Drosophila melanogaster: one gene and its partners. The protein of the gene in region 2 interacts with the protein of the main gene of each other region in a pairwise test. Each region holds a gene or a part of one and is shown on either strand. Other genes may lie near its edges.

Region 1 (7,827 bases), on a different chromosome or scaffold from region 2:
CGGCGGCTATGTGGAGCCGCGGGAGAATCTCATCGATGCGGCAATACGAGAGGTGGCCGAGGAGACGGGAATCCGCACCGAATTCCGCTCAGTGGTCAGTCTGCGGCATGCCCATGGCGGCACCTTCGGCTGCTCCGACATGTACGTGGTCATCGCCCTAAAGCCACTGAATTTGGACTTTACGCGCTGCGAACGCGAGATAGCGCGCATCCAGTGGATGCCCATCGCGGAGTATCTGAAGCATCCGCAGGTCCACGAGACGAACAGGCAGTTCGTCTGCACCTTTTTGGACTACCAGAAGCGCGGCCTGACCCTCACCTGTCGCGACGAAGTGCATCAGGTGCTAAAGAAGAAATACAATCTGTATTACGTGGATCGGGAGCAGCCACAGGAGCAGCAGGATAAAAAGAATTCGTGAGACTTGTCGGTGCAATGGCCAAATCCTTAGTGCAATTTTTATAAAGTCCTTTCTTCCAAAAGCCAGCAGCATCACAACTGCGCATTCAAATGTTCACAATGTAGTCAATAAATGAATTTTTTTGTATATAATTATATGCATATATCAATTAAAGCTCACACAGCCTTTTACAAAAGCTTTTCTTTTGATACCATTTTTAGAAACGCCAATAATTTAAAATATGGCATTATTTTGAATATGACGCCCAAACATGGTAAATACTTCCTTAGAAGGTAAGCCAATAAGGATTAAGGATGTAAGCTTCATACTTTGAAAAATATGTTTATTAAAAACAAAAATGAAAAGAAATTATTATTCTCTCCTGTTTTTTTCAACTTATTTTCAATGATATGCAAAAACCAGAAGTCGCACAAATGAGACGAAACTCGCATACGTAATGATTCTAAAAAGTTGTGGTTTGATGTACTATAATTTCCAAACGAAACATAGGCCATTTATTGGGTCAAGTTGATTTTAAACTCTTTGTTGTACGAATGCCATCTATAGACCCGTGGCCTCGGATATCGGCCAGATGCGGCAGAGCACGCGGCTCCGGATGAGGCCCACCGGAATGGGTCCGTAGTAGCGGGAATCCGAGCTGTTTCCCTTGTTGTCACCCTCAATCCAAACGTGTCCGCGCGGCACATAGTCCTTGACCATCACGGGCTTCTTCTTGTCATCCGAATTACCACTAAACTCCGCCTCAATGGGAATGGGCTTCTGGATTAGCACCTGATCACCGGAAACGGCCACGATACGCTTGCAAATGAACTGATCGGCTTTGATGGGCGATATGGCGATGACTATGTCGCCGGGCTGGTAGGTTCGCCAGTGTTTCGACAAGCGCTCGGTGAGAAGAACGTTGTCCGAGTGCAGGGTGGGCTCCATGGAGGGTCCTTTGCACTGGAAATGGTTGCATTAATGTGAGTGTACGTACTTTTCCGCAAAAGAAGGATATCAAGTGGAAGTTACACAAGGTGGAAAAACAAGTGGAGAGTACCTTAATGCATTCACACGAACTATGTGATGCTGGCACATGTTGGGCAAGTATACCCGCCCAGGAACTTCATCCTAGACGCCTTACCAGGACGAAATCGCCAATGTACTCGAAGGTGCAGTGTGTGATTGCCGCGTAGGCCACCGTGTAGCGCATCAGGCGACCCAGACGGGAGAGGATTTTCATGTCGGCGATTCCGGCGTTGGCTGCTCCACATGCGCCCCTAATCAGAGCATCTCCCGTGTCCAACGACCTGGTATTCTCTCGAAAAAAGAGCTCCTCCAAAATCGAATGTTTATGTTGTGTAAAAATCAGGGCTGCACAGGCGGCGCAGCTGAGCGGCCAGCCAGGGATGTGCCAACGATAATTTTGATGTCTAACGATAAATTTTGTGTGGCGCAAATTTCAAAAATCGATGGCCCAAAAGGTTAAACTAAAATTTAGCGCATAGAACCACATATATTTATTTTCACTTTTCAATTTTGACTAAGTCTGCCAGGCCTGGCATGTATGGTACATATATGTTAATGTTTCAAATACATCTAACATCCATTTGTCGTATATATTTCATGCAGGTCTCCAATTACATTCTTTAACTTACGATTAGAAATACATTAGTTACATTGAGAGAGTTGCTGGGACAAGGTGGTTAGTCAAACCCAAAACGTGCACAGTGAGATAAATCCTGGAAATAGACACTCATTCATAGTATATCGGCCTGCATTTACGCATTGGCATATATATACATATATAGCGTGTAAACTACGCTAACTAAAGGCAAAATAAATATGCAACAGCTACTGACTGGAACGAATCGCTTAAATTTCAATTCAAAAATCTATTAAATACAAATTGTCGGGTGATTTCACCACCCGTCTAACTAAAATATATCAAATAAAATCAACAATCATTGCAATAGCGCATTAAAAATAAATTAAATTCCTACTACGGCCTATTTGGTTGCCTAATGCCCATATTTCATCTGATCGCAATTCGTCTTCAAAATTCTGTTTTTTTAGCTTGGAATCAAGAGTTGTTTCATTTAGTACTTTCTGTTGATAGAACTGTCGCTGGAAGATTGATCCCGGATCGCATCCCATTTTCACTCCACTTTCTTGCCGCTCACCGGCTCCGACTTCTGGCGCCGCTCCTGCCGCTCGCGTACATCCACGGCCGCCAGATCGATGCCCGCCACGTAGGCGTGCATCACCGAGATCAGGGCCTTGAGCACGGCAAAGGGACCCGTGAGGAAGGCGAGTATCTTGAAGAGCGATGCGCCGAATACTGCAATTGAAGTCCATCAACGGATTAGATACGTTTCGCCAGCTGAAATGCAAAGCATGTGCGTGTGCGTATACTCACTCAGCGGGCCGTAGGTGAAATGCAAGAGGTACAAGCACACGTAAAACAGCTCATTGACGCAGCACATGAATGTGAGTATGTCCTTCTGGTAATACAATCGCATTATGAAGTTGTCATTCACCTTGTGCGAGCTGCGTCCGACCACAACGCTCCTGCAAAAAGACAAAGCCACGAGTCATTAGTTTCCTTCCATTCCTTGACAGTCCAGACGTCCAGCATCTTGCTCTTTCCCCTGCCCCACTTACGTCTGCATGAAGAGCCAGTGACAGGCCACGTCGATGGCGATGGACAGCTGGAACCAGAACATGTACCGGGGATAGAAGTAGGCCAGGGTGACCAGTAGGCCGGTGGTGCCGCAGCGATCGGTCAACTGGTCTAGCATGGCGCCAAAGCGAGTGCCTGTGAGGTAATCGAGTATTTAGTAAAGATTCCATAGTACCATATGATAATTACTAATATTTTGATATACATATTTTGGTTGGAGTACCCTTTCGTTAAGACTCTAAATCATCCTGCTAGCATACAACAAATCCAAGTGCAAGATCATACCTTTCAGTTTGCTACACTACTATATCATAAACATTGCATGGTATCTGCAATTTGTTTCTTAGAAGGCTTCTATCCTAATGTTTTTCCTCCTATATTGCTAACTACATTGCATAGTTCCAAGGCAATATTAGCCATGCTTTCTATCTATTCTTCAGCCCCACGTCATCCATCGATTGGCTGGATAGCCGTGACCATATCGGGCTCTTTAGGGCGTGCCTACAATTCCACAATATCGGCAGATAACCAGTACGGAGGAGACAGGTGTTTGCAATGCGCTAGCGGCCAAAGTGCGCGCACAAATCAAATACAGACATATAGCTGGCATGAGCTGGCATTTCGATATCAAGGGCGATCGCATGGTTAATGCTTACTTTGGTTAAAGGCTCGGGCTGCTTGTCCATCGACGGCGTCCAGGAGGGCGGAGGTTACATAACACCAGCCGGAGATCACATAGTTGGTGGACATGAACCAGAAGGCGATCAGGGCCAGAACGATGCGGGCGTAGCCTGGAAAAGATCAATATAAATCAGCACATATGCGTGCATCATACGTATAGAATCATTGGAGGTGACTCAATTGGGTTGGACGAAGCGGCTCTTATCGCTGAACTTGCGCTTCGCATTGCACTAGCTGCCAAACAGCCCCTATTAATCCAATTAGGGAACACTAGAATCGCTATTATTGCGCCGCATAAATCGAACATGCGATTTGTTTACCTAGCTGGAGCACGGAATAAAACCTACAAACAGCCACTCACCGATCAGATTTGGCACAAAGATGAAGACGTTATCGTGCTCGGCAATTGTCATTTTGTTTCGCCACTTTGGTTTTTCGTTTATTTTGCGATCTTCTAGCTTTGCGGCTTGTTTTTATCCAATTAAATGCCAAAAGTGCTGCAGAAAAAACAGTGGAAACAGAATTTGCTGTATCTGGTGTGACCGCAGCGTGACCTTTGGAAAAAACAAACAAAGACTTGAGAGAAAATACCGAACTATACTGGCCAACAAGATTTCAGATGGTTTCCACTGACACACATCTGTTTCTAGTTTCTATTTTTCTCTTCCAATAGAAATTTAGTAATTAGTATATCATTTTAAATGTATCAAATACAAATTAAAGGTCACTAGATTATTAACATGAGCTACCAAAACCGGGCAACTAGTGTAGTTGCTTGTTAAATGAGTTTTGACAGCGATTTGCGTGCCGTTTTGATACATTTTCGCTGCCGTTGAGCAGTGTAAATGGATCTTTGCATACCGCTTCTAAGCTAGTATATTCCTCAGCGGGACATGGCATGGTCACACCGCCCGCGATAAAGTTTTCACAAATAATAATAAAAACACAATACAGGCGAAAATATAATGCACAAGTAGCGCGACCCGAAGTAACCTGCGCGGAGAACCACATGCTGTAGCATGGATAAACTCCGCGGCGGCAGTCTGGGCGGCGGCGGATCCTCCAGCGGCGCGCCATCGACGGCTCCGGGCCATGAGCACCACCAACTGGAGCAGTATCAGTACCCCAAAAACCTGATCGAGCAATATCTAAGGGCCTCCAGCAAGATCAAGAAGTTCGAGCGGGCCGGCTTCTTCAAGTGAGTAGCTACGGCCCAAGTATGGGCAATCAGATACCTTGCAGATCATTGCGTTTGATTAGCAAGTCATTGCCCAATTTATCGCTTTTCCTCCATCTTCAAACTATGTTTAGAAATACGGGTGTATTAGAAGCCCTCGAATCACGGAATACAATCTCAATACTCCACTGTTTCTCTAATTCCCAGACGCTTTGCGCCCAGCGTGGTCGATGTGCAGGCGGACTTCCAGCGACTGGCCTACAGCTTCGAGGAGTCGGGCATACAGCAGTATGCGGCCATGTGCCACATTGGCTATGCCAAGTGCGAGTCCTACGGCGGCGCACCGCAGCGCGAATCGGAGGCCTATCTGCGGGCAGCTAGATCCTTCCTAGCGGCGCACAACGAGTCCGGGCGACTGCATCTGCGCACCCGCCACTCGGGATTTCGGGAGGGAGCGGTGCACTGCTATCACCGTGCGGCGGATCGAGCGGTGGACGGTTGCGTCTTCAAGGCGGCCATTCTGCGCGAGTTGAAGCAGCTGCAGCGGCAGCTGGACAGCACCAGCAGCTTTGCCTCGCCCACCCATCAGATCCATGACCTGGAAATCAGCGCCGAAACGAGTGGCCAGCGCGGCGATTTTCGCAGTGCACTGCAGCATTACGACGACATTGTGGACAATGTTTACGAGCGACGCGGTGCTCGCATGTACGGTGAACTATTGCGGCGCGTTGAGGTGCTGCGTCTGCTGCTCCTAGTCCATTTGAACCTGCCTCCCGCACGCCAGTCACCCGCCCACATCAAGCTGATCGAGTACTACTACAACCTGGCGCAGTTCGAGTCGCTCCCCTGTTCGGCGGACGACGGTGGATCCGCGGAGCGTCCGGGAGCATTTGTGCCCGAACAGCAGCAGTATGCGCTGGCGGAGATTACGTGCGCCTGGGTGGAGCGTAAAATGTGCGATCTAAAGCACCTGCTGCGCGACTTTGGAGCCGAATTTGGATCGCTGAGCGACATGGAAAGGCAGCTGCTGGCGGTGATGCATGCAGAACTGGCCCGAAGCTACTAGATTTTAGACCTAAGATCGTACTGTACATTATTTACTACTGGATCATTACCACTGAATGAGAATGACACATGCAACTATCGCTTAAGTGTAACCAAGTCTACCAACTAACCTTTGAACGTGCCTACACGCATAAAAATTGAATTAAATTAACAAACGAATGACCAGGTGAATGCAGCAATAAACAGAAGGTGCGAAGCGCAATGAAATGTAATAGGATTTGTGATTTGTACAATAAATGAAGAGGAATGCGCATGATAGTGCGAAGATAAAGATGACTAACAAACCACCAACTTGTTTCTAATCAATCCAACAGATGTTCTATGAAGCCCCCTATTAATAGTAATGCAATATTTTGGTCATTTAATTTGTTTATTTTACCTTTGTCAAGCAACTTCTGTTTTTTGTTTCTTAGCAATTTCTCAATTAAGTTAGCTAATTAATGCGACACTCTTCGGGTGCCACAACTGATATTCCGAATCGAATTTCGTGATTTCTTTGTGTTTGCTTACAAAACTTTTTTTTTTTTTGTTTTTCGCTGGAGTTTACAATTCCAATTTGTTAAATATCCTATAATATCTGTTTGTTTATGTAATTTGTAAATTTTCATATATGTATGCATGTACGTTTCATGTAATACCCATTAATCCTTCCTAAGCCTGTTACAATTTCCATTTACTTTGCATTGTGTTTTAAATCGAATCGAAGAATATTTAATTGTCTTGTTCGAATCCGCGAGCAACTAAATCACGGTTCCGATTTGGGAGGGCAGTTTAACATCGTTTCTCACACAATTTGCTGCGACTACTATTCGCTTAATCATTCATACGTCTGTTGTTGTAGTTTAGATTTTTTAATTTTTAAATATATAGTTAAGGCTTAAATAAATTACAAAAAAATAAAGTACACTTTTCATTTTTTATATATATGTTTACATGAAACCTAGCGAAGAATTAAACGAAATTATATAAGCGCAAGATCACAAGCAGTTTTGTATATAGTTGGTTGGTTGTATTTATAAGTTATAGTTCTTTCTGCCTGTCCACTTCGTAATTGTATATATTTATAATTTTATAACTTTAATTCGACACGTAAAAAGAAAAAATTCAGCTAAAATTTGTGTGTTCCTGTTGAGTTGTCAACGGTTGTGTTACGCATGGTTGTGATTGGATAGGTTTGGATTGGGTGTTCGGTTCGTTCTAGTTTTATTGTTGATTATTTTACTGGTTGGCCGATCGAATTGTGACTTCACTATAGCGTAGAGTAAACGCAAAACTAATTTCGCACAGAATGGATTGCAGCGAACGGGCAGCCCAATAGCCGGATGTCGCCCGCCGCCTATTGAAGAGAAGGGATAGCGGTCTGAATGTCCTTTCGGTTGAGGGATGCGTTTGGTTGTGTGTTTGGGTGTTTTGGATGCGCGACTGTGTGTGTGCGAGTGTGTGGCCGTTGGCAGCTATCTATCCACTGGATATGGGATATATCTACTTTCCCGCCTTGGCCTTCTTCTCGTTCTCGGAGGTGATCTTGTTCTTCAGATGATCCTTGTAGTCCAGAATGCCGCCCTTCCACTTGGTTACCGTCTCCTTTTCGCATACCCAAATCTCCTCAGCCACCTGGAAACAAAAGAATGCGCGATTACAAACGTGATAACTATTCGTGAAGGAAAAGTTAGCTTACCTGATTAATCAGACGGAAATCGTGACTAACTAGCACCATGCCGCCATCGAAATCGTTGATCGCATCCGCGAGCGCATCGATTGTCTCCATGTCCAAGTGATTGGTGGGTTCGTCAAGTAGCAGAAGATGGGGCACCTGCCAGGCGA
Region 2 (7,511 bases):
ACCGACAAGCAAAAGCTAAATGAGTTGCAGAAGAAATTACAAGAAACGTTTGAACGGAACCAGGAGATCTATCAGCTGAAAAGCTTGGACCCGGATTTGGCAGCCAATGTCGGAGGAGTACCTTCCACAGGAGCCTCTGGCGATAAACAATCAGATACAGACGACTCTGATGAAGAGGAGATGAACGAGATCGATCTGAACTGTGGCAACAAGGAGTTGTGTGTCCTGGAAGTGGACGATATCGAAGACTTGGAAATCATATCGCTGTTAATGGAGCCATATCCGCCGGAGGGCTTCCATGTGGTAAATACGCAGCAGGTGCCGGGCATGCTGGAAATGGATACGGTTAAGAATCTGCAGATGTTCACACAAGTGTGGCGCGCCCGACTCGAGGTGGGCCAAAGTGTAAACGGCTTCCCTAAACACTTTCAGAGGTAGGTCTAAACTTCATACTGGGATCAGCACATAAAAACATTTGCCTTCCCAGACTGTTGCAGACCATATACTTCAAGCTACGCACTATGATACCCTGTGCTATCTGCGATCTTCGCTTCCGACTAGATCTGCCAGAGACGGTAAGGAAAATGCTAGGACTTTGATCAAGAATGATTAAATTACTTCGTTCTCTGCAGGATCAAATTCAATTGCTAGTCACTGGCATGGCCATGGGCCTAAGCGATGCCAACAGAATGAAGTACCGCGGACGTGGACGCCCGGCTCAGCAGCAGCAGGCACCTCAACAGCAGAACGGATATCATGATGGCACGGTGCACGCCACTCAATCTCAGCCAGAGTTAAACGGAAAACGAATGCTGCAAGAGGAGGATTACATATTTCCGCTGGACGAGGATCAGATGGTGGACACACCCACGCCAACCAGCACCGCTATTCCGCCATTCGGAATGAGCTCATTCAAAATGCGAAAAACTTCACCATCACGTCTTAACAATCTCGTTTCGGGATTGCCTTCAACCGGAGTTAAGCCATTGAACGTTGGATCTGTTCAACGTAGCCGTTATGTAAGAACATTAAATATTAATGATGTCTTTATATTAATATTATATTTCCTTGACAGTTTCCGCTGCGAGATCGTTATGGAGTGGATGTGACGCCACTAAGTTTCATACCTGGTGGTCGTATAGATAAATATTTGGGCAACCTAAACTTTTTCTTTATTCGGGAGAGCACGTCGATCCGGGAAAATGGTGGCATCAGCGGATTTGTCCATGGCTTCATTACCGAACTGTTGGCTGTGGTGAGAGCACACATCGCTTCGCTGGGCGGAAATGCCATGGTCTCTTTTTACATCACCGAACTTATGTTGTTCGATAATCAGCACAAGAATCAGGTAAGGCAAACACAATGATCTACTTACCTTAAAGTTTTTATACTGAAATCTTGTATTCTTAGGGCCAGTGCCTGATTAGCATCGGAGGCGATGCTGTCTATGTGAGCTACCATGCCGATGACTGATATAAAAACTTGCGGGGCATATAGCGCATGTTTTACGCGAATCGTCCCAAAAGCGTATACTCTCTATTTTCTTCCGCTTAGCTAGAACTATCAGCTCTGCCCAGCAACTGGAGTTAAACTGAAGTTAAACTAATTCACGTTTACTTAACAATTTTACAGCATCTGTAGATGGATTCTTTATGCAATATTTGAACTGTGAGGAATCGTTCTAATCCTAACTTAGTAGTGCTAATTTTTTCGGTCTTGTTACTTGTTTGCTGGATGTTTTTAGCGTTAAATCAATTGCAATTTCTGTACATAGTTGATGTTTATTGAATATTGAATTTAGAACGAGTGCGAGACACAAGTATAATATCGATATATACAATTGTTGCAACCACAAACATGACACATATACTCGTACCACTAGATATCCAATTTTGGCGCGTAAAATACAATACATACAATATTATGGAAATACAACAATTGCTCAACTAAATGTATTTGATTCGATTAGTTTGGTGTAGTGGAGAGCAGCACAAACATGACCCACAGATGTAGTAGGGCCACGTAGACGATCACAGAGACCCGCATCATGGGATAGCGACGCAGAAACGTTCCCACCCGAATACCCATGGAGTCCGCCTGGCGAAGGGCTCGCTTGAAGCGTCGTGCCACACGATTATCGAATGGACTTGGATGCATGAGAAGCGGGAATTGTGCTTTGACTAGGTAGAACTCATATTTATGTAATTTCTGGTACTCGCAGAATGTTAGACTTACCATCATCTGTGCTGTTGAGCATAGTATGGCGGGAGCTGCCCCTTTGGCTCTCCATTTCCACCAAGTGCATGTTTTGCTGTAGCTGCGTCTGTGCCTTTTCGTGCTGTAGTCGCAGGGCATTTCTCTCACTCGTAACTCTTTCCAGAAGACTTTGACGTTCGACCAGTGATTGGGTTAAAGCCTTTAGCCGAGTCTCGTAATCGCTCTTGGCTCCCGTGTTGGCTTCCTCGCTCAATCGCTGACGCATCTGCTGAAGCTGCTGCTCCCGCTCCTGGAGTCGAGTGGCGGCAGCAGCCATTTGGTTACTAAGTTGCTGCCGCAGTGAGGCCAGTTCCTGCGTGAGCACTCGCTGATCGGATTCGGAGGTCACACTGTGTTCCCTTGCCTGTCGCAACTCCTTTGCTAGTGTTTCCTCGCGTTGGCGGGCAGAGCTTAGTTCCACCTGTCGTTGTCTTTCCTGGGAAACGTAATCGTCCAGCTGCAAGCGCGCCTTTTGCAGTTCCTCGTTGGCATGCTCTAGTTCTTGCTTAAGTGACTCGTGTTCAATTTGCAGAAAACGCGTTTCACTGTCCTTGGACACCAGGTTTGGATCTGCGCCCTCCTCCGTGGGCTTCGCCTTCAACTCTGCGATGAGGGAATCCTTTGCTTGCAGAGCTCGCTGAGCCTTGATACGGTATTCCTGAAGCTCCTGGCGCTGCTGCTCCGTTTCCTTTGTTTGCATTTGCAATTTGTGAGCGGCGCTTATGTATTCCTGCTGCAACTTGGCCAGATTGGTTTCCAGTTCGGAGATGGAGTGCACATACGCCATGTTAGCTGCCTGGGCCTCATTGTAGTCATGAACCGCCTTGTCCCGCTCTTCGGACAGACTTTTAACCAGAGCTTCCAGCACCTGGGTGTGTTGATGCAGATCAAACTTTTCGGTTTCGTTATTAAGATCTTCCAAGCGCAGACGCAGTTCATCTCTTTCGGCCGTGATTTCATTCAGGGCGATCTTGAAGGCAGCCAATTCATTTGTGTCCATTGAGTTGGCGGATATGTCGGGACTGTTGGAGAAACTGGCCGACGTGGTCATCTTTTGGCGCATGTCCTTAGTGACCACGGAGACCCCGCCATCGCTTTTTACACTTGATGAGCTATTGGCCCCCGAGCGCCGCACTGGCGACAGAGTGGACTTCAGGGATGTGGACAGTGATTGGGTGCTGCTCGTCATGCTCCTACGCATGGGATCCGCTGAACCTGTGGCGTTCTCTGTCTGCAGGGCCGTTGCCGCATTTTGGTCCAGCTTGTTCAAAATGTTTTCGGCCTTGTCCGCCAGTCCTGTGATCCAGGATGACATATTTTTCTAAGAAAAACAAATCTCTTCGAGTAAAACACGTAAACAATATCACACTGTGTGCCCATATCGCTATCGACTGCGGAATGGTCAACTCCAAAGTTAAGGTCACTCTAAAAGTAACGTAATTTTGAAAAACCTTTTTTCTGATCAAAAAAATATTTATATGAAAATGTAAGGATTGGTTTTAGAAATAAATGTAATTCCAATCTTTCTTATCCGTGCAGAAATGTTAATTTATTATGCTTATCAAAACTCTAGGGTACAAATGAATATTTTATTCAATACTCAACATGGGCAGTGTAATCTTCGCAACTCACAACTATAAACTATCTCTTCACTTTCCAATGCAAAAGTCCTTGAAGACCACGTCGAGTATATCTTCGCAGCTGATGTGTCCGGTGATGCGTTCGATGCAGCGCACGGAGTTGCGCAGCTTGGAGGCGGCTATGGCCATGTCCGGGTAAACGTCGGGTCTGTAATCTCGTAGAAAAATATCAATGTTCTCAATGCAGCGCTCCAGTTGCTGACGGTAGCGTGTGTTTGTGATGCGTGGATTCTCCGCCCGCGGTTCTCCGCACAGTTCTTGCAGCTGCTTCTCCAGTGATCCCAGAAACACGGGCATCTTATCGGGCTTATGGCATGATATGGCTAACACGTTGGACAGCTTGTCCAGCTGCTGATGCTCCTCATCCGTCAAAGTGTCGGTTTTATTGGCCACCAATTGCAGACGTTTCCCTGAGCACATGTCCAGAGGTATATCCAACTCGCCCAGATAGCTATCTACAAACGGAGCAACTGCGTCGTCGTGCGTCAGCTGTGCAATGTTCTTGGCTTCTGCTAGGAGCAATATCAAATCAGATTGGACTAGACAATTCTTGGCTCTCTGCATTCCCTCCTGCTCTATACTATCCGTAGTATATCGGCGTAATCCGGCTGTGTCGGAAAATACCACCGGGTATCCTCCGAAATTGTGCATTGTTTCTATAATATCCCTTGTGGTGCCCGCCTGATCCGTCACTATGGACACGGATCGCTGGCAGAGGAGATTGAGCAGACTACTCTTGCCAACATTGGGTGCTCCAATGATCACAGTGCGGACTCCGTCGCGGAGGAGCTCTCCCTGCCGCTGGTCACTCAAATGCTCGCGAATCTCACGCTTTACCGCCTTTAGTTCTTTGCCGAGTTGCAGGATGATGCCGCCTTCGATTTGCTCCTCTTCGGCGAAGTCTATGTAGGCCTCCAAATGGGCAGCACAGCGAATAAGTCGACGGCGCCAGTTGTCGTAGAGTCGAGCCAGTGCTCCAGTGCTTTGTAGCAGTGCCTGGAGAAAGAAGAGACTTGAAACAAAATTTATGAGACCCTAAGTCCACTGTCTACCTGCTTTCTTTGCGCCTCCGTTTCAGCATGGATAAGATCGGCCAATCCCTCCACCTCTGTCAAATCCAGTTTGCCACCAAAGAACGCTCTCTTTGTGAACTCTCCCGGCTCCGCCGGCCGCAATCCATCCACTTTTCCCAGAGCATCCAACATGGCCGCAATGACTGCCAGGGACCCGTGTACCTGAAACTCGCAGGAATCCTCGCCAGTGAAAGAAGCCGGTCCCGGAAACCAAAGTAAGAGCCCACGGTCAATCATCTCTTTGCTGGCGGGATGGTAGAAGGATTTCAGATACGCCTGACGAGCCTATATGGAAAAGTATTTATAAAGGGAACTATAAGTTTCACTATCATAGAGGTCTCTCGTCTTAAAACCTGGCAGCTTGCCAATTATAACAAATTAAGCAGTTCACGAAATTATTCAATTTATTTAGTCAATTATATGTAAGTTAGGAGAAATTTGTTTATTTTTATACAGGATACATCTCCCAAAATGTATATAAATAAGCAACAGGTCTTTTCATTTGCATACATATATTTTGGATACTAGAAAACAAAACTATACACTGCACAGGTCACGACCCCTCATATATGGAATAATAAACGTTTATATCGATTGACTTGCCTTTGGCTCGTATTCTTTGTTTGCAACAATTGCTCGGAGGGCCTTCTTTGTTTGCGGCCCGGAGACACGGATCACGGACACACCGCACTTGACATGACCGGAACTGAGGCTGTAGATGGTGCATCCGCTGCTGGCAAAGCGCCGGAAACTGCCCAAGAAGCTCTGGGACGCGTTTCTGAGAAGCGCCATCGCCGAAAAACAATTAAATCCCAACCGCCGAATAATAAACAATTGAACGTGATATTAAGTGTGACCGCGGAATGGCCGTTACAAAAATATATCATTCCACTCGGAGATATATACTAAAGAATTGTGCGTAAACAATTATGGAGCGGTGGTAAGCTTGGGTAAATCTCCAGTCCCGACACAAACCATTTTGACCGAAATATGGGATTTGAAACATGGGAACGTTTTTTATTTATTTCTTTGTTATTTGGATAGAAAGAATTCACTTTTATTCAATTAGACAGAAGTAGTTTTTGTAATTTTTTGTCAAATAATTATCAGATTTTTTGTCAAAAGCGTTGGAAAATATCGAATGACATATCTCGATGAACTTGTAATTAAGCCCTTAATTGGTTGGAGTTCAAATTTGGTAATTTTATTTTTTTGACGTTTTTTGAAAAAAATAGACGTTGTTACCCCTTATAAAAAATGTGAAAATAGAAAAAAAAAAATTTTTTTTTTTATTTCACCAAAAGTTGATAAAAATAATAAGCATTGGTAAAAAGCTGTAAGAAATAGTTCTTATTAAGTCTCTGAGACCAATTTTAGCCAAGCTGTGATGAACTTCTCAAATTCCCTCTCCGCTTTTGACGAAGACAAATACACTTAAATATTTTATTAGTAACAAATATCACATCTAGTGCAGATGTGTTACATTTTTACAGTTACATTTTCGGATTTGGACGCTTTAAAATCTGATGCCTTCGACACTATCAATTTGATCAGGCTACAAGAATGAGCGATTGCTAGAATTTCTGATGCGAATACAACTGTCAAATATAAACGGTTTAGAATAAGAACTGACGTTTTCGGGTGCTGTAGGCGTTTGACAACCGGAGAGATACAATGGGTGGTGGACAGCTATCGGTGGCACGAGCAAATTTGTTGCGTTGGATCATCGCCGCATTGGTGTCCCATTGGTTGATAAAGGCACGGGCCTCGTCGTCACATGGCTTTGCCGTACTCGGTCTTTCTTCCTGCAAAAAAGATTATTTCAAATTGATTTTTGTTTGAAATATTCCAAAAAATAGGCACCTGGGCTCGGCGGCGTCGAGGAGCCTCAGTTTCCATCGACTCCAGAAAGTCCCGTCTACGATTTCGTTTGGTCGCCACACTGTCCGGGAAATTAACCCAGGTGCACTCGTACTTGCGCTTCTCCAGTTCGCGCGGATGGTACTGCTCGTTATCGAAGCGTTCCTGATCGTCCCCGACCGAGATGCGTCCGTGGCCCTCGTCCTGCTCCCACATGGAGCGTCGCTTGTTCTTCTTGTACACATCCGCTTTCTCCCGCTCCCTGAGTATCTGATCGTCTGGCAGGTATTGGCTGCCCACTCTGGGCCGCTGGGAACGCCTGGCAATGTGACGCGTTGAGGCGCATTCGATCCGCGCACGGAGGAGCTCGATGCAACGGTTCACCATCATCCGAGTGCCACCGTGGATGTTAACCATTCTCGGAAGATATTTTTTTTTTTTTTACAGTTTTAGAAATTTTATTAAAAGAATTAGGGAATTGTGTAAGTTTTAGTATTGGAATGCCAAAATGTAGCCTGCTTCCAAAGAGGCGGCGTGTAACGAACTGAATCCGCTCCCAACAAATCGAGGTGACATGTAAGGTGCGTACGAATCAAGGCACACCTGATGCTGTAAGTCGGCTCACCTTTCTTAATTAGCACTGTTCACCTGGCGTTAATTTTCCACGACTAGTATCTGTCAC
Region 3 (8,865 bases), on a different chromosome or scaffold from region 2:
AATCGGTGCACCAGTTTTGTTTTGACGGTCGGGGATGGTGATTTGCAACGTTGACAATGGACTGATTATCATATAGGCGGCTGATTAGTGGATCGAAGCCAATTCTGTTTAATTTGCTCATTTGAAAACTATCAACAGCATGTCGCGCAGAAAGGAGAACGAGGAGGTGGACAAGCAGACGCGTATTGCCATCGTCAGCGATGACAAGTGCAAGCCCAAACGGTGTCGGCAGGAGTGCAAGAAGACCTGCCCAGTGGTGCGCATGGGCAAGCTCTGCATCGAGGTGACGCCCACGTCCAAGATAGCCTCGTTGTCCGAGGAGCTGTGCATCGGTTGCGGTATTTGCGTCAAGGTGGGTCAGCTTACCTACAACTGCTGTAGTTCCCGGAATAACCCGTGCTTTCAATTCCCCAGAAATGCCCCTTCGAGGCCATCACAATCATCAACTTGCCCAGCAATCTGGAGAAGCACACAACGCATCGATACAGCAAGAACTCCTTCAAGCTGCATCGTCTGCCCATTCCGCGTCCCGGTGAAGTGCTCGGTCTTGTGGGACAGAACGGTATTGGCAAGTCGACCGCTTTGAAGATCCTCGCGGGGAAACAAAAGCCGAACCTGGGGAAGTACGCCAATCCGCCCGACTGGACGGAGATCCTTAGCTACTTCCGCGGCTCCGAGCTGCAGAACTACTTCACCAAGATCTTGGAGGACAATCTGAAGGCGCTGGTCAAGCCGCAGTATGTGGATCAGATCCCCAAGGCGGTGCGTGGCGCTGTGGGCGATCTTCTGGATAAGAAGGACGAGAGGGAGCTGCAGACTAAGATTTGTGAAATGCTGGATCTATCGCACATCCGTGATCGTGAGATCGCTCAGCTTTCTGGCGGAGAACTGCAACGCTTTGCCATCGCCATGGTATGCATACAGAATGCAGACATCTTCATGTTCGACGAGCCGTCCTCGTATTTGGATGTTAAGCAGCGTCTGAACGCTGCCTTGACCATTCGATCACTCCTGCATCCCACCAAGTAAGTTGATGAATAATGTGCCATTGTTTAAAATTATGACGTGGTTCTGTAATATGCAGGTTTATTATTGTGGTGGAGCACGATTTGTCTGTGCTGGATTACTTGTCTGACTTTATATGCTGCCTTTACGGAGTTCCCGGCTGCTACGGTGTGGTTACTATGCCTTTCTCTGTGCGCGAAGGCATCAACATTTTCCTCGATGGCTTTGTGCCCACCGAAAACATGCGATTCCGCACTGAGTCACTTACTTTCAAAGTATCTGAGTCCGCTACGGAGGAGGAGATCAAGCGCATGAACCACTACGTATATCCCGCCATGGTCAAGACCCTGGGCAAGTTCGAGTTGACGGTGGAAAAGGGTCACTTCAGCGACTCCGAGATCCTGGTGCTCCTGGGCGAGAACGGTACAGGAAAGACGACGTTCATTCGCATGCTGGCCGGTAACCTCCAACCCGATGGCGAGGTGGAACTGCCTATGCTGAATATTTCCTACAAGCCCCAGAAGATTTCCCCGAAATTCCAAAATCATGTTCGCCATTTATTGCACGATAAGATTCGTGACGCCTACGTGCATCCTCAGTTTATTGCCGATGTTATGAAACCCATGAAAATTGAGGAAATCATGGACCAGGAGGTGCAGAACCTTTCCGGTGGTGAGTTGCAGCGAGTCGCCTTGGTCCTGTGTCTTGGCAAGCCAGCGGATGTCTACCTCATCGACGAACCCTCTGCCTACTTGGATTCAGAGCAGCGTCTGGTGGCCGCCAAGGTTATCAAACGGTATGTTTTACATAGACTTTAAATCTGCACACAAATATTGATGGTATCTCGTTTTAGTTACATTCTGCACGCCAAGAAAACTGGATTTGTGGTGGAGCACGATTTCATCATGGCCACCTACCTCGCCGACCGTGTCATCGTGATCGAGGGTCAGCCTTCAGTGAAGACGACAGCCTTTTCGCCGCAGTCGCTGCTAAATGGCATGAACCGCTTCCTCGAACTGCTTGGTATTACGTTCCGTCGCGATCCCAACAACTTCAGACCCCGCATTAACAAAAACAATTCGGTCAAGGACACAGAACAGAAACGCTCCGGCCAGTTCTTCTTCTTGGAGGACGAAGCCTGCAACTAAGACAGGATCACGGGCAACTTCGATGGGACAGCTCGTTTCTCTATGTTCTCCTCAGCTTTCCTTCGTTCATTTTGCATTCTTTCGTTGAAGAACACATTTGCTTTCAAATTAATTTGTTATTGTTGTCGAGGATTGCGTACAATCGAAAATTGGGGATTAATTGTACTTGATTAAAGTGAGTTTTATATACGTTTTTACAGCGAAATAAATAGTGAACCGAAACAACAGAATGTTGTTTTAAATGAGTCTAGCAAAAATAAACCAATTTTCTTTATACAAAACTGCATTTGAAAGTTCTTTTTTCTAAAGTGGTGCTCATAGAATCCTGCGAGTTTAAAAGAGCTAACGTTTGCAAATTAACACGTATTTATTGCACTTAAGCGATAATTACTCAAAATACGCACAATACAAATGTAAATTACATACAAATTTCTGTCATTTCAAATTTGATCACAATACGAAATCGACGCACAATGAATAACAGCTACAAACATTTATAAGTATATAATTTACAATATTTGTTTTTAGATATACCAACGCATGCACAGCATATTTTTAATGTAAACGCTTTTGAAGCTTTAAATTTATGCGATTTAATCAAATTTACATACAATTTTTCGAAAAAGGCAAATCTTTTGAGTTTATAATACTTAATTTGATCTGTGGCTTGTTGACCACTAAATAACTGACACAAGTAAGTACTATAAATAGGTAATTTTGGAGACTTATACGCTAAAAATTCCATAAAAGTAAATGCGTCAAAAATTGACCCAAATATTTGATAGTTGCATTGTGCTGTTTCGAATCCCAATCTGAGTCTGAGAGTAGAGAGCGTTTTACAAGGAGAGTTTTCTTACTGTTTTGCCGAACTTATGCAATAGAAGTATAGTTAGTAAAAATGGACACATGTATGTCTAAAATTGAGTGTTTCAGTTGATCCAAAAGCAGATCCTATGGTTTATCCAATAATTTAATTACCTTGTTTATTTTCTTTTTCCTTCAGCATAATTTCTTGTAAATGGAACTTTTAGTGACTTAACATTAGTTTTGCTATGTGCTTAAATAATTGTCGAAATCTTGCAACAGAACGTATCAAAAATAAGTGTATATCATGCAGGAGATTAAAAGATAGAGAACATTTGAGGTAGCCGACTATGTATCGTTTCCACTTTTCATGAGGTTGGACACTTCCTGGCCGAGCTCCATGGCTTGTTTGCGCAACTTGAGGGCCTGAAAGATACATGTCATCAGTAAGCATTTCGCTATCAATACTCAAGTGGACTTACCTGAGTCCTGAGTTCCTTCTCGCGGGTGACAAGTTCCTGAATTTGCGACATGACTGTGACTGAGCTGCGTTGATCTATCACCCACCGCAAATAGAGATCTAAAATGCATGTTTGATGAGTAATGTTTCATATATTAAGTTCTTAAACATACCACTCCACAGCTCTAAGCTTATGGGCGCCACCGATGGCCATATCACATTGGCATTAGGCTCGTACAGCGGATTCAAGAATGTCTGAAGGACATCAGGCCGGTTCAAATAAGACCACAGGCTCGTCGTCCTGGTGTGCACATTCAGTTCGTTTCTCTCCCGCTCTGAATCGCACAGGAAAGTTCCATACTGCGAAAAGTGACTGTGCTCAAATAGAAGGATCAGCAGTTGAGTGCTGAATTCAAAGCTGCAGGGGAACTGCGTGTAAAGCTGATAAATGCAATCCAGAAATAGGACGAAGGTGGCACCAGAGGTCTTATTGCGTGTCTGATTTGGTGTATAGCATGAGTAGCGATGACGCGAGGCGAACGGATGTCCCGCCTGGATCCACTCGCGCTCTATCAAAGCCTGCAGGCTGCAAAGGGAACACGGCATAAATATCTTTTTCAAGGTAAGGAGAATATGATTACTTACCCCCTTACAGTCCGGCAGTCCGGATTGAGAATGATCTGCACCAGTGAGGTGACTATAAGCGTGGAGTCCAACCCCTTAGCACCGTGCACTAACACTGGACTTCCCTCTTGGTCCAGGCATTGGGCCACCACACAGGAGGCGTTCAGTGAGTTCAGCACAAGACTAAGCCAGCCGCTGTTCTCCAGTCGCGATAGCCATTTATCAGTACTGCATCCCAAATCGTTGCAAGCTTCGATAAGCCGAGCAAAGCTGTCCAAAATAGAGGCGGGCGAACTGACGTTTCCAATTGAACGATTTACCTTCTTCCACTGCGAGTAGTGCAGGTCAGTTTCCGTATTCGATTTGCCCTTACCCCAAGTGTCCACGATGAACCCCTTCCGACTGCGACCCAGCACCAGATTAAGGATAGCCTCGTCAGCTCTACAGCGCTTGATGCCCTGAATGGACAGCGGCTGGGAGCTGCGCATTAGTGTGGCCTGCAAATATGAATCATTGAATTAATTTAATAAAATTTGATGATGTAGATGCAATGACTTACGCCATTTTCATGCCTGTAGCTGAGCACGGGGAAGCGGCCGCCATCGCGGAACGCAGCGGAGAGCACTATCTGCTCGTCCGTAATTGCTTTAGGTACAATTAGCGTGGCGCCATATGTGGCACAGACGCTGAAGTCTCTGTTGACGTTGGTGATGCGCCACTCGCAGGAGGCCTGGGGACTTTGAAGCGCACCACCTCCCACACCACCAACACCACACGCAAGGGCTTCTATCGCATAGCCATTTTGCAGAGGATGGGGAATGCCGGCGCCCACAGTCAACGTCGATGTCGAAGTTGATGGCATGCAAATTGTTATGTTGGCCACATTCGGCGAGGACGCACCGCCCATGCCAACCCCGCTTATGAGTTTGGCGAACTCCAGCTCGGGCCTGTCGTTTGGATGGGGAGGTTAATTGAATTGTAGCCAATTTGTTAGTTATGGAGAAGCCGTGTACCCACCTAAACATCGTGTAGCCGTCCTCTAGGATCGAGTACATGGGCCGGTAGAAGAATGGATAGAGCAGTTCGGTGTTCTGGATGGCACTGAGTGCCTCCAGCGATGCGGCCACGTTGAAGAACTCCTTGCCGCACTTTATCTCCAACGAAATGATGCGCAGGTCCTTGCACTTCAGGGTGATAATCCCACCGACCACGATATTCTGCGACAAACTAGGCTTCTTCTCCACACAGTCGATGTTCTTGTGGAGCAACTGAAAAGAGGGGGATGAGCATGATGAATTTCTAATTCAATTATGAGCGCTCCACTGATGCCGAAGCACATCGGATTAGGTGGGCAGGCCTCAACCCACTTACCCATAGCTCCTGGCTGGTTTCCTGGCGGGCGCTGAGCAGCAAATGGTGCCCTGTGATGCACAGTGTGCCAACTGTTGCACCCGACGCCCCCGCATTCGATGGGTCGTGCAGCAGGACACCGTCCAGCTTGGGGGTCTTTATAAGGTCGGCGAATTCCATGGTGTCGCCCTCGGCGGGGTGTCCGATTTGATTTGGCCCCCACTAATTAACTTTTTGCATTTTGCCCCGGCTATCTCCTGTTGCCACTTGATTGCTTCTGTCGACGCCGCCTTCCACCTCCGCCCTTCTTCGCCACGGTTATCCCGCCTTTCGAGTCCCCTTTTTTGAACCCACAGCAGTGCGTACGTCACCGGTTCTGGCGGGGATTTGGCGGACTTACGGCACTGCTGCTCTGCAGCTAACAATGAAACTCGTTCCGGGCTGCAAAAACTTTTGTTCCACGCCCCCGCTTACGGCACAGATTGCATTTCTTTCTTTCTTTTCGATTCCGTTTCCGACCGACTGTTCTGTTTTGTGCTTTGTGCCAGTGTGCCCGTCGCTCACTGAGCCGGAAAGCTTTGTTGTGGCGTCCACTACCACACTGCGTTTTGCCTATGAACCGTTATTGCCACTAACAAAGAACTAAAAAATTATCAGGTTTTTTAATATGTAAAAATATTTTTAAATTGTTTTGCAATTTCATTTAGTTTAGTTTTGCAGGAATGATTATATTTACGCTTCATTTTTAAATATATGTTTACGACAGTTTCATATATGAAACTAAAATGACAAAAAAGAAAATAAACTAAATAATTTATAGTAATCTAACAGTAATGAAAATTATTTGCTTCACGTCTTTCGTACTCAGATTAAGATGCAGAGAATAAAAATAAAACACATTTCGCTATATCTGAATCCCTTTTAATAACTATTCTTAAATTTGTAGTTAAACCATTCGAAATAAAACCATGTGGCATACTGGTTGCATGTCACACGCACATGCGGTCCTTTAATCCGAGTAAAAGTAAGAAATGATTATGGTAGATTGCAGTATGGCTAAATTAAGTTTTACATATGGTACACAGACAGCGATGCCAATCGAAGGTCGTGGTCCGCGCCAGAAGAAGCGTCGAATACTCTTTGGAATGCGCTGCAGCAGACGGTGGCAAGGTGACTTAGTAGATGGCGTCTCCACCAGCTCAAACGACTCCCGTCGGGCGTACATTTGTTGGCGGTGGGGCGCCACTGGGCCTTGTCATGATGTCCACGGCATTCTTGAAGAACTGCGTTTTCACAAAGTCTGTGGCGGCGGAATTCAGATCCTTATTGGCACCATAGTTACACTTGACGTAGCCATACAGATTGGCGGCATTCAGCGCAATGGCGATCATTACCAGCAGTAGCCATTTGAACTTCAGGCCGAATAGGGCGAACAGGAAGAAGAGGCCCCAGAAGACGGGACAGAGGATGAGTCCCAGCCAGAAGATGCGCTGCTCGTTCTTGTTGACCCGACTCTGGTAGGATTCAGACTGCGTTTCATTATCAAGGGCAATCTAGTTAGCTATGCTCGTGACTCACGTTCTTTGACTCAAACACCCAGTGCGATACGCCATCGTCGTCGACGTAGTTCCACCAGCGGAGACCGACCAGCAATCTGCCCGAGATGTTCTTCACCGTCCAGAAGTCGGCGGACAGGAAGAGCACCACGAAAACGAAGCTGGTGATGAAGGAGTCGCTGAACCAACCGCAGAACATATAGATCAGGATGGCGGCGCCCCTGAAGAACAGGTGGAAGAAGGTGACGTACGGGTGCCTGTGGAGTACACGCGTTGGGTTGGGTTGGGGTAAATGGAATTGATCAACAAACATTATGGTTCTGCATACGTGTATTTCTGACCCGCGCGACTGGGATCCCGCATCTCGTCCTCCTCGCCAAAGGGTATCGTGTCATCGTCGAGCAGCGGCACCTGTGTAACACGTATGTGGGATTAGTTTGGCTTGCCTCGTTGTAAAATATGAGTTTTCGTGGAAAACCTCGGATCGTATTGTCAGAATGGCACCCCAATCAAGCAGCTTGTTAGGTGTTAGTGCGGCATACATACATTTCTTACCGTAGCGGATGCCATGCTGGTGTAGGGAGTGACTTCTAATTCCTAGTTGGGTGCAATTTTCATGGATTTTCGTGGTTTTTCAGGGGATTTAATATATTTTCTTCGCCTGGGACGTTGTTGTTGTTTCTGCCTGCGTAGCCTTCTATCGTTTTCGCACTGAGTCGATAGCTCGCAGGGGTGAAGCACTTCTTCGACTTCGATTGGGTTGGCAGCACCATAAGTAATCGAGCTTAAACCTATCGTATTTGAAAATTTTGCAAACATTTTTTATTGAGCTCCCCTTCATTTTGTTTGTGGAATTGTTATTTGCAATAGCAGCGCCAAATGAGAAAAAAATGCCACTTTTAAGTTATTTATGAAACATAATTTTTTACGCATCATATTAAGTAATAAAAGCCGAAGCAATATTATCTAAGACGACTTTTATGTTCTGTGACCCGGATTCTCAATGTTACATGGTTGTGGCTGAAAACCAGCAGAGTGTGCAAAAAGTTGTACTCCAACCGCAGTGGAAGCCATTGAAATGCAGCATCCATCACTTGCCAAGTTAGCCCACAAACTTCATCAGTAGCTCGTTGATCGTCTGCTCTTTCTGTCGAACTTAACTACCAACGTTTCAAAATGGAAAAATGCCGTGCCTCCTCTAGGATAATCATAATCGGAGCAGGAGTTTCGGGCATAGCCGCCGCCACTCGACTCCTGCAAAACAATTTCCAGAATGTTCAGATCCTGGAGGCGGAGGATCGCATTGGCGGGCGGATCAACACCGTGTATTTTGGTGACAACGTCATCGATTTGGGAGCCCAGTGGTGTCATGGAAAGCAGCAAAATTGTGTATACGACATGGTCAAGGATATGGGTATCCTGCACGAGACAGGCGACTATTACAGTCCCATAAAGAGGGTGAGATCCAACAAGGAGGTGGTTCCACATGAGTTGGCCTGCAGGATTCACGACATTGCTGTGAAGAGCATGCCGAGTGGACCTCACCCGGTTGTGGGATCCTTTGGCACCCACCTGACTCAGACCTTCTGGCGCAAGATCGAGTCCGAGCTACCCCAAGTGAATAGGGATGTGGCTAGTGAGGCCTTGAATACATTTGCGAAGCATGAAAGCTCTATTATTGGTGCGGACAATCTTTTCGAGGTCTCCGTTAGGGAACACATCGAGTACCACGAATGTGATGGCGACAAGCTGCTCCACTGGGGAACGAAGGGTTACCGGCGCTTCCTGCGGCTGCTGATGAAGGTCAGCGCGGATACGCCAGAAGAGCTGGGTCTACTGGAAGGACGTATTCAACTTGATATGAAGGTCATCAAGATTGAGTTGGCGTGCCCCCGTAAGGTAATCCTGCGCTGCCAGG
Region 4 (7,469 bases), on a different chromosome or scaffold from region 2:
CCCGATTGTGGCTGTCTACCACCACCGTTCCGCCCGATACACCGATACATCGATATCATCGCGAGTGGCTAACCCAGCTCTGAAAGGGAAGCAAGACACCTAAAAGCAGCAACAAAATGCGCAGCGCGGAAACACAGGCGGCGTGTTAAATAAAATAATAATATATAGTCGGTGCAGCTGGCCGTGTGTGGCCGCTGGAAAAACGGGAAAAGCGTTTACACAGTGCTTTTTATTTAGCATTTTCTCCGTTTCGCCCGTGTCTGTGTATGCGTGTGTTGCGTGCGTGAGTGTGCGTGTTTTTTTTTCCTCATTTGGTGTGTGCTTTTTTTTTGTACATTGCGGAGACGCGCTCTTTTTTGTGGCAGACGGGCGGAAAAGATGAAAAACCGCAGAGAGAGCGTCGAAAATTGATGGGAAAATGTATAAAGTTTGTTAATTGATCGTTTTCGAAATGAAAGCATAGAAAAAGGAGCAGCAACGGCGGCAGCAGCAACAACAACAACAACGAGTAACGAAAAACGGCAAAATTTTTTTGTTTGCCTCGTATCGCATTTTCTCACTCTCTCTCTCTCCCGCTGCGTGTGTGTGTGAGTGTGTGTGTGCGCGTCACATATCGACGTCCCTCTCTTGCCACCGACAACAACAACAAATACAAAACGAAGGAAGGAAAGAAAAAGGGGAATAACGTGAAACATGTTTTTCTGTGGCAACAGCAACAACATAAGCGGCAGCTGCAACTATCGGCAGCAACAACAACAGCAGTATCATAAAACATGTGTGGAATAATCGCAGCGAATTGAACAAAGCCCAAAGCCTGGAAATAAAGTAACCAAAAAAGAGAAACGTCGAAAATCAAATGTAAGTAAGCCTTTTTATGCTTCTGTTTTTGCTGTTTGGTTAGGTTGAAAAAAGAGAGAGCAGAAAGAGAGTCGAAACTCAAGCGTTCAGCAATATACAGCGTGCTGTTAGGCGTTAACAGCGTTGCTGTTATGCGCCCAGCAGGCAAACCAATTGGACTTGCCGGCATTTTAAAGTCCAATTGGCTTGTGGCCATTAGTTTATTAAATCGATGTTTTTTCAGTTAAATGCGGTTTTATGGTATTTATTAAACATATTGCAATTTAAATTTGTCAGCTGGCCATTTGGTTCATTATATTAGACTGCAGTCTTTGTAAATGCTCATCTTGTTATGCGGAAAATGCAGCGTTAGAAGAGATTTCTTACATTTTTTTTGTATCTTTTTCAAAAGGACATTTAATTAGTTGGATTATACAAAAATTTGAATATCAATCTAAACATTTAGTTGACTAGATATTTTCGATTTATTTTATGGGTTCGGTTGCTTCGGTAATTGCTTAATTAAATATACTTGATGTGTTAATTAAGGACTTAAAAGTTATAATTCAATTTATACGTATTCCCTGAATTTGCTCTCTTTTATCGCTCGTTGCGCGCGCCCTCTCGCTCTCCTTCTCACTCTCTTCCGTTTCGAGTTCCATGAAGCGACGCCAAAATAGCAATAAAAACAACGACGCAACAGAGCCGCAAAAGGTGGCAACCCTGCTTGCGTTGCACTTTTTACACCCAACCGCCCACAATTTTTCCAAAAAACAAATACATAAGGGAAAAGGAGGAAAAATCCAAACAGCTGGCAGCCTCGCATTGGCAGCTGTGATTTTCATTCGTTCTTCCGCTGGACAAGATGGCTTTTCCACACTATCTCCTTCTCTATTCCCCCTCCCACTCTCCTTCTCCTCTTTGCGATCGTGTTTCGTTGCGTCTTGGCCTTGCACTCATTTCCCATTGTTATTGTTTATTTCGCAAGAATTACGACACTGTCAGGCGAATTTGTTGGTAAACAATTGTGTATTGAAGCAGCTACGGTGGTCACTCGATACGGGGAAGATCTTTAATATGTACATAACTGACAATACATTAATGATTTGTAATGATATGTGCAAGCTATTTAGTACGATCTTAAAAGTAGGAAATAAATTAACAAGAAAACAAGGATTATACAACTCGCATTTAGGTAATACTTCATATTTACGCTCAAAAAGTGAAACTGAAATTGTTGAAAAATCTCGAAACTCTTATCCAAATAGAGTTAAAATAATTTGCAGCGTTTAGAAAAACAGAATTGTGGACGTAGCATCCGTTAGTAGGGAGCGCATTTGTTAGTACGAGTGATCCCCGTACAGTGAATTCCCTTGATAGCGATCCAGTCCGTTCAGGATTTTCTCCCGCCGCATTCGCTGTTGCTGCCGTCGGCGCTGCCTGTAGAGATCCAGGAGAGCATTGCAGGTGTTCCTGTCGAGTGCGTAACCGCGCGCTCCATTGGCCCTTATGGCGACAGTGGGTAGGCGGTGAACCGACGACTTGTACAGCAAACTGCCGGTGCCGACCTTTTGCTTGGCCTCCACGGCGGCGGATGCGGCGCGACAGGCCGCCTCCTTCACCTGCTCGTACTCCGACTTAGCTTGCGCCACCTGGCGGGCCAGGCGGTCACCACGTGCCTTCGCCGCCGCCAGCATTTGGTTCTTCTCCTCGATATCCATGTTCGACTGGTCGATTAGGCTGTCCATTTCCGACAAAATGCCACTCGTCTGCTGTACGAGGGCCCTGAAAACATTAGTAATCGAAAAAGCATTGATATTAAAAATCGATATGTTATCGCTGGTAGATATTATGATAGATATAACGATATAATTGTTCCGCTTTTAAATTGTGTAGATAGTTGGATGGATTGTGAACAATATTGAATATTGAATATTTATCAATTATACCTGAATGTTTCGGCTTGAACCTCCGCTGCTTTGACCACGGCACAGGAGGCCTCCACGTTCGTCTCACTGTTCTGCAGCGAGCAGCTCACCTGTCCGACCACCTCCTCGGCATCCCGGATCTCCCTAGCGTAGTTGTCCACCATTGCCTGTTTGCCCTCGAGCACCGCATCGGCGGCACGGGCAGCGGAGATGGCCTTTTCCGCCAGCTGCATCTTCGCCTGCCGCGATGCATCTTGAGCGGCGGCCGCCTGTGCATCATTGGCTGCCTTGGCCACCTGGGCGGCATTCTGGGCAATGTGGGTGGCCTTCAGCCGCGAATTGATAATCTCGTCACAGGAGTCACAGTTGTCCCTATCTCTAATATTATTCCTGTCTTTGTCCCGATCCCTGTTTCTATCGCAACCCCTATTTCGATCCCAATCTCGGCCTCGATCCCGATCAATATTGCGATCTTTTTCTCGGTCCCTAGCGCTTTCGTCCATGCTTTCACATCCAGATTGGTAGGACGGTCTTGTGGTGCATCCCAGATAAGGGAATGGCACCACTGTGGCCCCCGAACTACCATTCCCATCGCCGTTGAAGCCCTGGGGAGATATGTCATCGTTGGTGTTGTCCAAATAGCTAGCCAGGGAGGCGTCGTGTTCGTTGTGGGGCTGGTCGAAGCTCATCGCACGGACACTCACAATGCGGAGGATGATAAGGAGCAGGGTATATGGTGGAAATATATACATTTTGAATCCGGAATTTGAGGAAAGCGACTCAGGCTGCTGCTTTCAAAACTACTAGATATTCCATAGAATATATACATATTTCAGGGTATTTTGCGATTCTTTACAGTTGGCTGGCTTTCTAGTACTTTCGCATAGTATCAGTTTAATTGATGATGGGAACCCCTTAACTTACCGTCTAAAAGAGCTAGAACGTATTTGTGAAACGGAAAAGCAATTGTTTGCCCTTTAACGATTTTTTAATTGAGCTGAGTGGTTGCCCATACTTTTCCACCAGCGCTTTTCCAGCTTTCCCATTTCCCATTGTCCTGCAGGATAAATGGCTGCCATAGCGATGGGTAATCAGCACCTCAGTTGGCAGCTTTCGCACCTTGCTCACCTTTCGCACCTTCTTTCTCCCTTTGCCCAATGCAGTGTAAATGCGTATCAAGAATACTTCATTAGTGCCCAATTGCGGCGCAATTGCGACGCTGACGCAGCCAACTGGCTGGCTAACTAAGTATCTAACTAGCTAGCGGCTAGCTGACTAACTAGCTAGCTGGTTAGCTGACTAGCAAGCACGTGTGGCGAGCGGAGAAAGGGTAGAAAGCGGCATAGGTGTGGGTGGGCTGGGAAAAGTCGCACTTTATCACAACAAACCAGATGCTAAGCACGTGCTGCCATTTGTTTTGGTTATTATTATTGTGATTCCAGTCTCTAATCAGTGCGGCCAAATAAATAAGTGTGCGGAAAACAGAAACCATGAATGCAGTTAACTGGCGGTGGGGAAAACGCCACCTGGCGGAAGTAATATCAACAATTGCAACGATCTGTAGATACAGATTCATAGATACATAGATAGCGCTATAATAGATATTTGCGTATTTTTCATTTACACTGAATATACTAACATTTATTCCGTGAGAGAATTCAAATTCTTCGTTGAAATTACGCATAAAAGTCAGGGAAAACATGCTATCCGCATAATTGATTTAAGATTCAAGATGAGTTATTTGAAAGATGAAATTCCATAGATGCAGAGGAAAAAAACGTTTTTCGGGCAACACATTATTAAGTGAAATTCATGCCGGCCATTCAGTTCCTTTGTTATATATATATATATATATATATATGTACATACATGGTATATAGTATCGTTATTGTAGTCTTCTTGTTCTTGTTCTTCCTGCATTCATTATCATTGTTGTTGTTGCTGCCGACTGGTCACCAGTTTACTGCAGTCTGCTTGCGAAACTGAAATTTTCAATGCCACTGTCAAAGCTGCGACGTCATCCGTCATCAATGAATGCGCAGTTTTCAATTACCATACAAAATACAAAACAGTCAGTACAGTGGCGGAAATAGGGAATGATACGGCCATGTTCTCTATAAGAAAGTTGCAAAATGGCAGAACGTTCAATTCAATTGACAGCAAGTGTGCAAGGGAAATCATACACTTGTTTTCCAATGTGATCTTATGAGTATCGCAAACTATGAAAATATGGTATCGTTCGCTCGAATAGATTTAGAGACTTTATAATACAAACCAAATGCTCATTTTATGTTCTTTTTGATTTATAGAGAAGTAAATTTAATCATTGCCAACATCATTTATGTTTTATTACCACATTTTATCATAATATTGTGCATTTGATAAGTTTTTATTTAACGCGATCTTGAGAGATCACAAAAACAACTTCATGAAAGGTTCTTTTTTAATTGCCGCTTGTTGTCTTTTGTATTTTCGCTTGCCACTTGTTAGTGTTTATATTTTTTATTTGCACATTTTTGCGCTATTGCGTATTGAGCAAAAATCAACTTTATTAACTGACCTTGTGTGTGGCCATGTGCCCCAGTGTGTGTGTGTGTGTGTGTGCGTGTTTGTGTGTTTGTGGGAGCGAGATGGCAGCAAAGCTCTGCGACTGCGCCGCTCACTTCACTTCGGTTCATTTCAGTTCATTTCGCTTCAGTTTCGGCAAAGGCAAAATCGGTCATTGAACTTTGAACCACCTCAAGCTAAACAAAAAAAAAAAGAAAAGTACAGAAAAATAAATAAGACAGCAACGAAAGAAAAATAAAACAGCAGCAAAAATAAATATAATAAACATAGCCGGTCAGCGGCGGCATTTACATTCTTCGCTCTTCTCTCCGCTCTTCTTCGCTTTCGATTCTTCTCTATCGCGCCTCGACTTGATCTACAACGCACTTGCTGCGGGGCGTGCGAGCGGGACGGGAATAGGGCTGCGGGGAGTGCAGAGAAAGAAAGCATAAATTCTTCGCCTTTCTTTGCACAATCGCACAATCTTCCATTGAAAAAGTGCTTTCAAAAGCGCAAAAACCGTTTTGATGTCGCTGATGTCCAATTGTTGTTGCTGCCACAGTGGTACCTCGCTATGCAAAACAAAATGAAAAATGCGTCCTAGAATTTGCAACTTCCTTGCATGATTTGCACTTCAAATTTGGAAGATAGCTAATATCCACGAAATTGAACTTCAAATTTGAGACAAAACCAAGTTATTTGATTTCGATTCAAGTTATGGAAGACGTGCCGTACTATTTCCTTGCCAAATTCCCTTAACTCTTCTCGTTCTTGGCTAATCAGCGATACTAATGAATACAGAAGAAGCGGAAAACGCCTACAAGGTATTTTTAGTAGACACCTAGAAAATCTGGAGCACGCACATAGCCAAATAAGTTTGTGTATGTAGGCAAATGTGTGAGTACGCCACCGTATTAATAACAAAACGTTTTCTTTCCTCTTTTTTTTTCTCGGGCGTCGCCACATGTTGCACTTTTAATAAAATCGAGTTCACAAAAAAAAAAAAGAAAAGGAATGCAGAAATAGAAAAAGACGCTGTTGCAAAAATATGATTTATTTCAATTATTAGTTTAGTAGCAGCATTTAATGTGCACGCAAATTGAATTAAACAAAACGAGTGCAAATGGAAAAAGTCACACGAACGATTTGGGTCACCACATGACGTGCTGTGCTCCCCTCTCTTCTTCTCATTCTGCGGTGGGTGGCTGTAGTGGGTGGGCGGTGGAGAAAGGCGAAAGCGAGACGAAAGAGAGCGCGAGCGGCAGGGCAACACACACACACATACACATGTGTACTACCACCACACGTACATTGGCGCAGTCCGACAGACAGACAGCCAAGCCAAGCGATTCTGACGTCAAACGGCCGCCGCCGATCATAAAGTTGTATTTTTTATGCCCCCGCTACAGTGGCTACTCGCTTAGTTGGCCTGCTAATATAGGGATTTGCGGTAAAACCCAGACCTCAGCTTATTGATGTTTTATTATTTAAAAGTGAAATTGAGCATATTTAGTTTGGCATATCTCTTAGATAAAATCGCTGATAGCAATCAATGTCACTATTCGCGAATGATTACTGTAATGTTAGGAATCTTAATGTGGCATTTTTAGTACTTTTCCCAGAAGTTGGGGGAGTAGACTTGTGATCCGATTGCGAAGATATTCGTAGACCACCCAGCCGCAGGACAGGGTTGCCAGCTGCACCAAAAGCCGAATTAGTTGGCCAACGTTTCGCACAGTGCGCCTTAGCTTTTTTACTCTATTGTTTTGTCCGTTTGTGTGGGAGTGCGTGGGTGTGTGTGTCGTTATTGCAGCTATTTATTGCTGCTTTTTGCCGATTTCGTGTTGGCCCCAAAATAAACGATGAAGCATGCAAAACAAAAAAAAACTGGCTGCTGCTGCCTGCGCTAAAAATAAACGCAATAGTAAATAAATAACGATCCCCGGACATCGGCGGTCGGACCGGACCGTCCGTCCGTCCGTCCGCATTGCAGAAAAGTGTGAAAAGTCAAATGAACATGAACTGATAATGATAACGTGAAAGCTGTTCGATTGTCGATCGCTGATCGTCGATCACAGTTGACAACAACGGGTTAACACTCGTTAGCCACATGATCTGCAAAAGATCCGCATCCGCACTCTGCGAATCGCTTGCTTA

What was found.
Region 1: the proteins of Golgin84 (region 2) and Pis interact in a two-hybrid assay, tested with the Drosophila melanogaster proteins (one large-scale study listed by BioGRID).
Region 3: the proteins of Golgin84 (region 2) and CG5026 interact in a two-hybrid assay, tested with the Drosophila melanogaster proteins (one large-scale study listed by BioGRID).
Region 4: the proteins of Golgin84 (region 2) and CG12985 interact in a two-hybrid assay, tested with the Drosophila melanogaster proteins (one large-scale study listed by BioGRID).

The regions. Positions count from the first base shown.
Region 1 is NC_004354.4:15,699,448-15,707,274, forward strand, and holds Pis (phosphatidylinositol synthase), read right to left. Parts: upstream 4,324-7,827; 5' UTR 4,175-4,323; coding exon 4,123-4,174; intron 3,872-4,122; coding exon 3,737-3,871; intron 3,641-3,736; coding exon of another isoform or gene 3,582-3,640; exon of another isoform or gene 3,366-3,581; intron 3,216-3,365; coding exon 3,062-3,215; intron 2,969-3,061; coding exon 2,817-2,968; intron 2,739-2,816; coding exon 2,557-2,738; 3' UTR 2,004-2,556; downstream 1-2,003. Other genes in the region: CG8128 (uncharacterized protein), read left to right, coding at 1-418; CG9240 (uncharacterized protein), read right to left, coding at 959-1,360, 1,542-1,640; Hap40 (Huntingtin-associated protein 40 kDa), read left to right, coding at 4,781-4,959, 5,146-6,004; CG9281 (uncharacterized protein), read right to left, coding at 7,486-7,617, 7,682-7,827. UniProt on the Drosophila melanogaster protein: Catalyzes the biosynthesis of phosphatidylinositol (PtdIns) as well as PtdIns:inositol exchange reaction. May thus act to reduce an excessive cellular PtdIns content.
Region 2 is NT_033777.3:24,354,306-24,361,816, forward strand, and holds Golgin84 (Golgin-84), read right to left. Parts: upstream 3,634-7,511; 5' UTR 3,572-3,633; coding exon 2,236-3,571; intron 2,181-2,235; coding exon 1,966-2,180; 3' UTR 1,765-1,965; downstream 1-1,764. Other genes in the region: CG6454 (uncharacterized protein), read left to right, coding at 1-434, 488-575, 633-1,019, 1,076-1,348, 1,411-1,473; CG18528 (uncharacterized protein), read right to left, coding at 3,906-4,892, 4,949-5,254, 5,573-5,761; CG5762 (uncharacterized protein), read right to left, coding at 6,586-6,774, 6,833-7,246. UniProt on the Drosophila melanogaster protein: May be involved in maintaining Golgi structure and in intra-Golgi transport.
Region 3 is NT_037436.4:8,965,621-8,974,485, reverse strand, and holds CG5026 (uncharacterized protein), read right to left. Parts: upstream 5,959-8,865; 5' UTR 5,572-5,958; coding exon 5,413-5,571; intron 5,310-5,412; coding exon 5,059-5,309; intron 4,989-5,058; coding exon 4,601-4,988; intron 4,539-4,600; coding exon 4,063-4,538; intron 4,004-4,062; coding exon 3,591-4,003; intron 3,538-3,590; coding exon 3,440-3,537; intron 3,384-3,439; coding exon 3,306-3,383; 3' UTR 2,734-3,305; downstream 1-2,733. Other genes in the region: pix (pixie), read left to right, coding at 140-352, 415-1,025, 1,085-1,801, 1,859-2,153; CG5021 (uncharacterized protein), read right to left, coding at 6,591-6,920, 6,970-7,204, 7,276-7,358, 7,494-7,517; CG5653 (uncharacterized protein), read left to right, coding at 8,124-8,865.
Region 4 is NC_004354.4:17,879,793-17,887,261, reverse strand, and holds CG12985 (uncharacterized protein), read right to left. Parts: upstream 3,545-7,469; 5' UTR 3,455-3,544; coding exon 2,787-3,454; intron 2,623-2,786; coding exon 2,178-2,622; 3' UTR 2,024-2,177; downstream 1-2,023.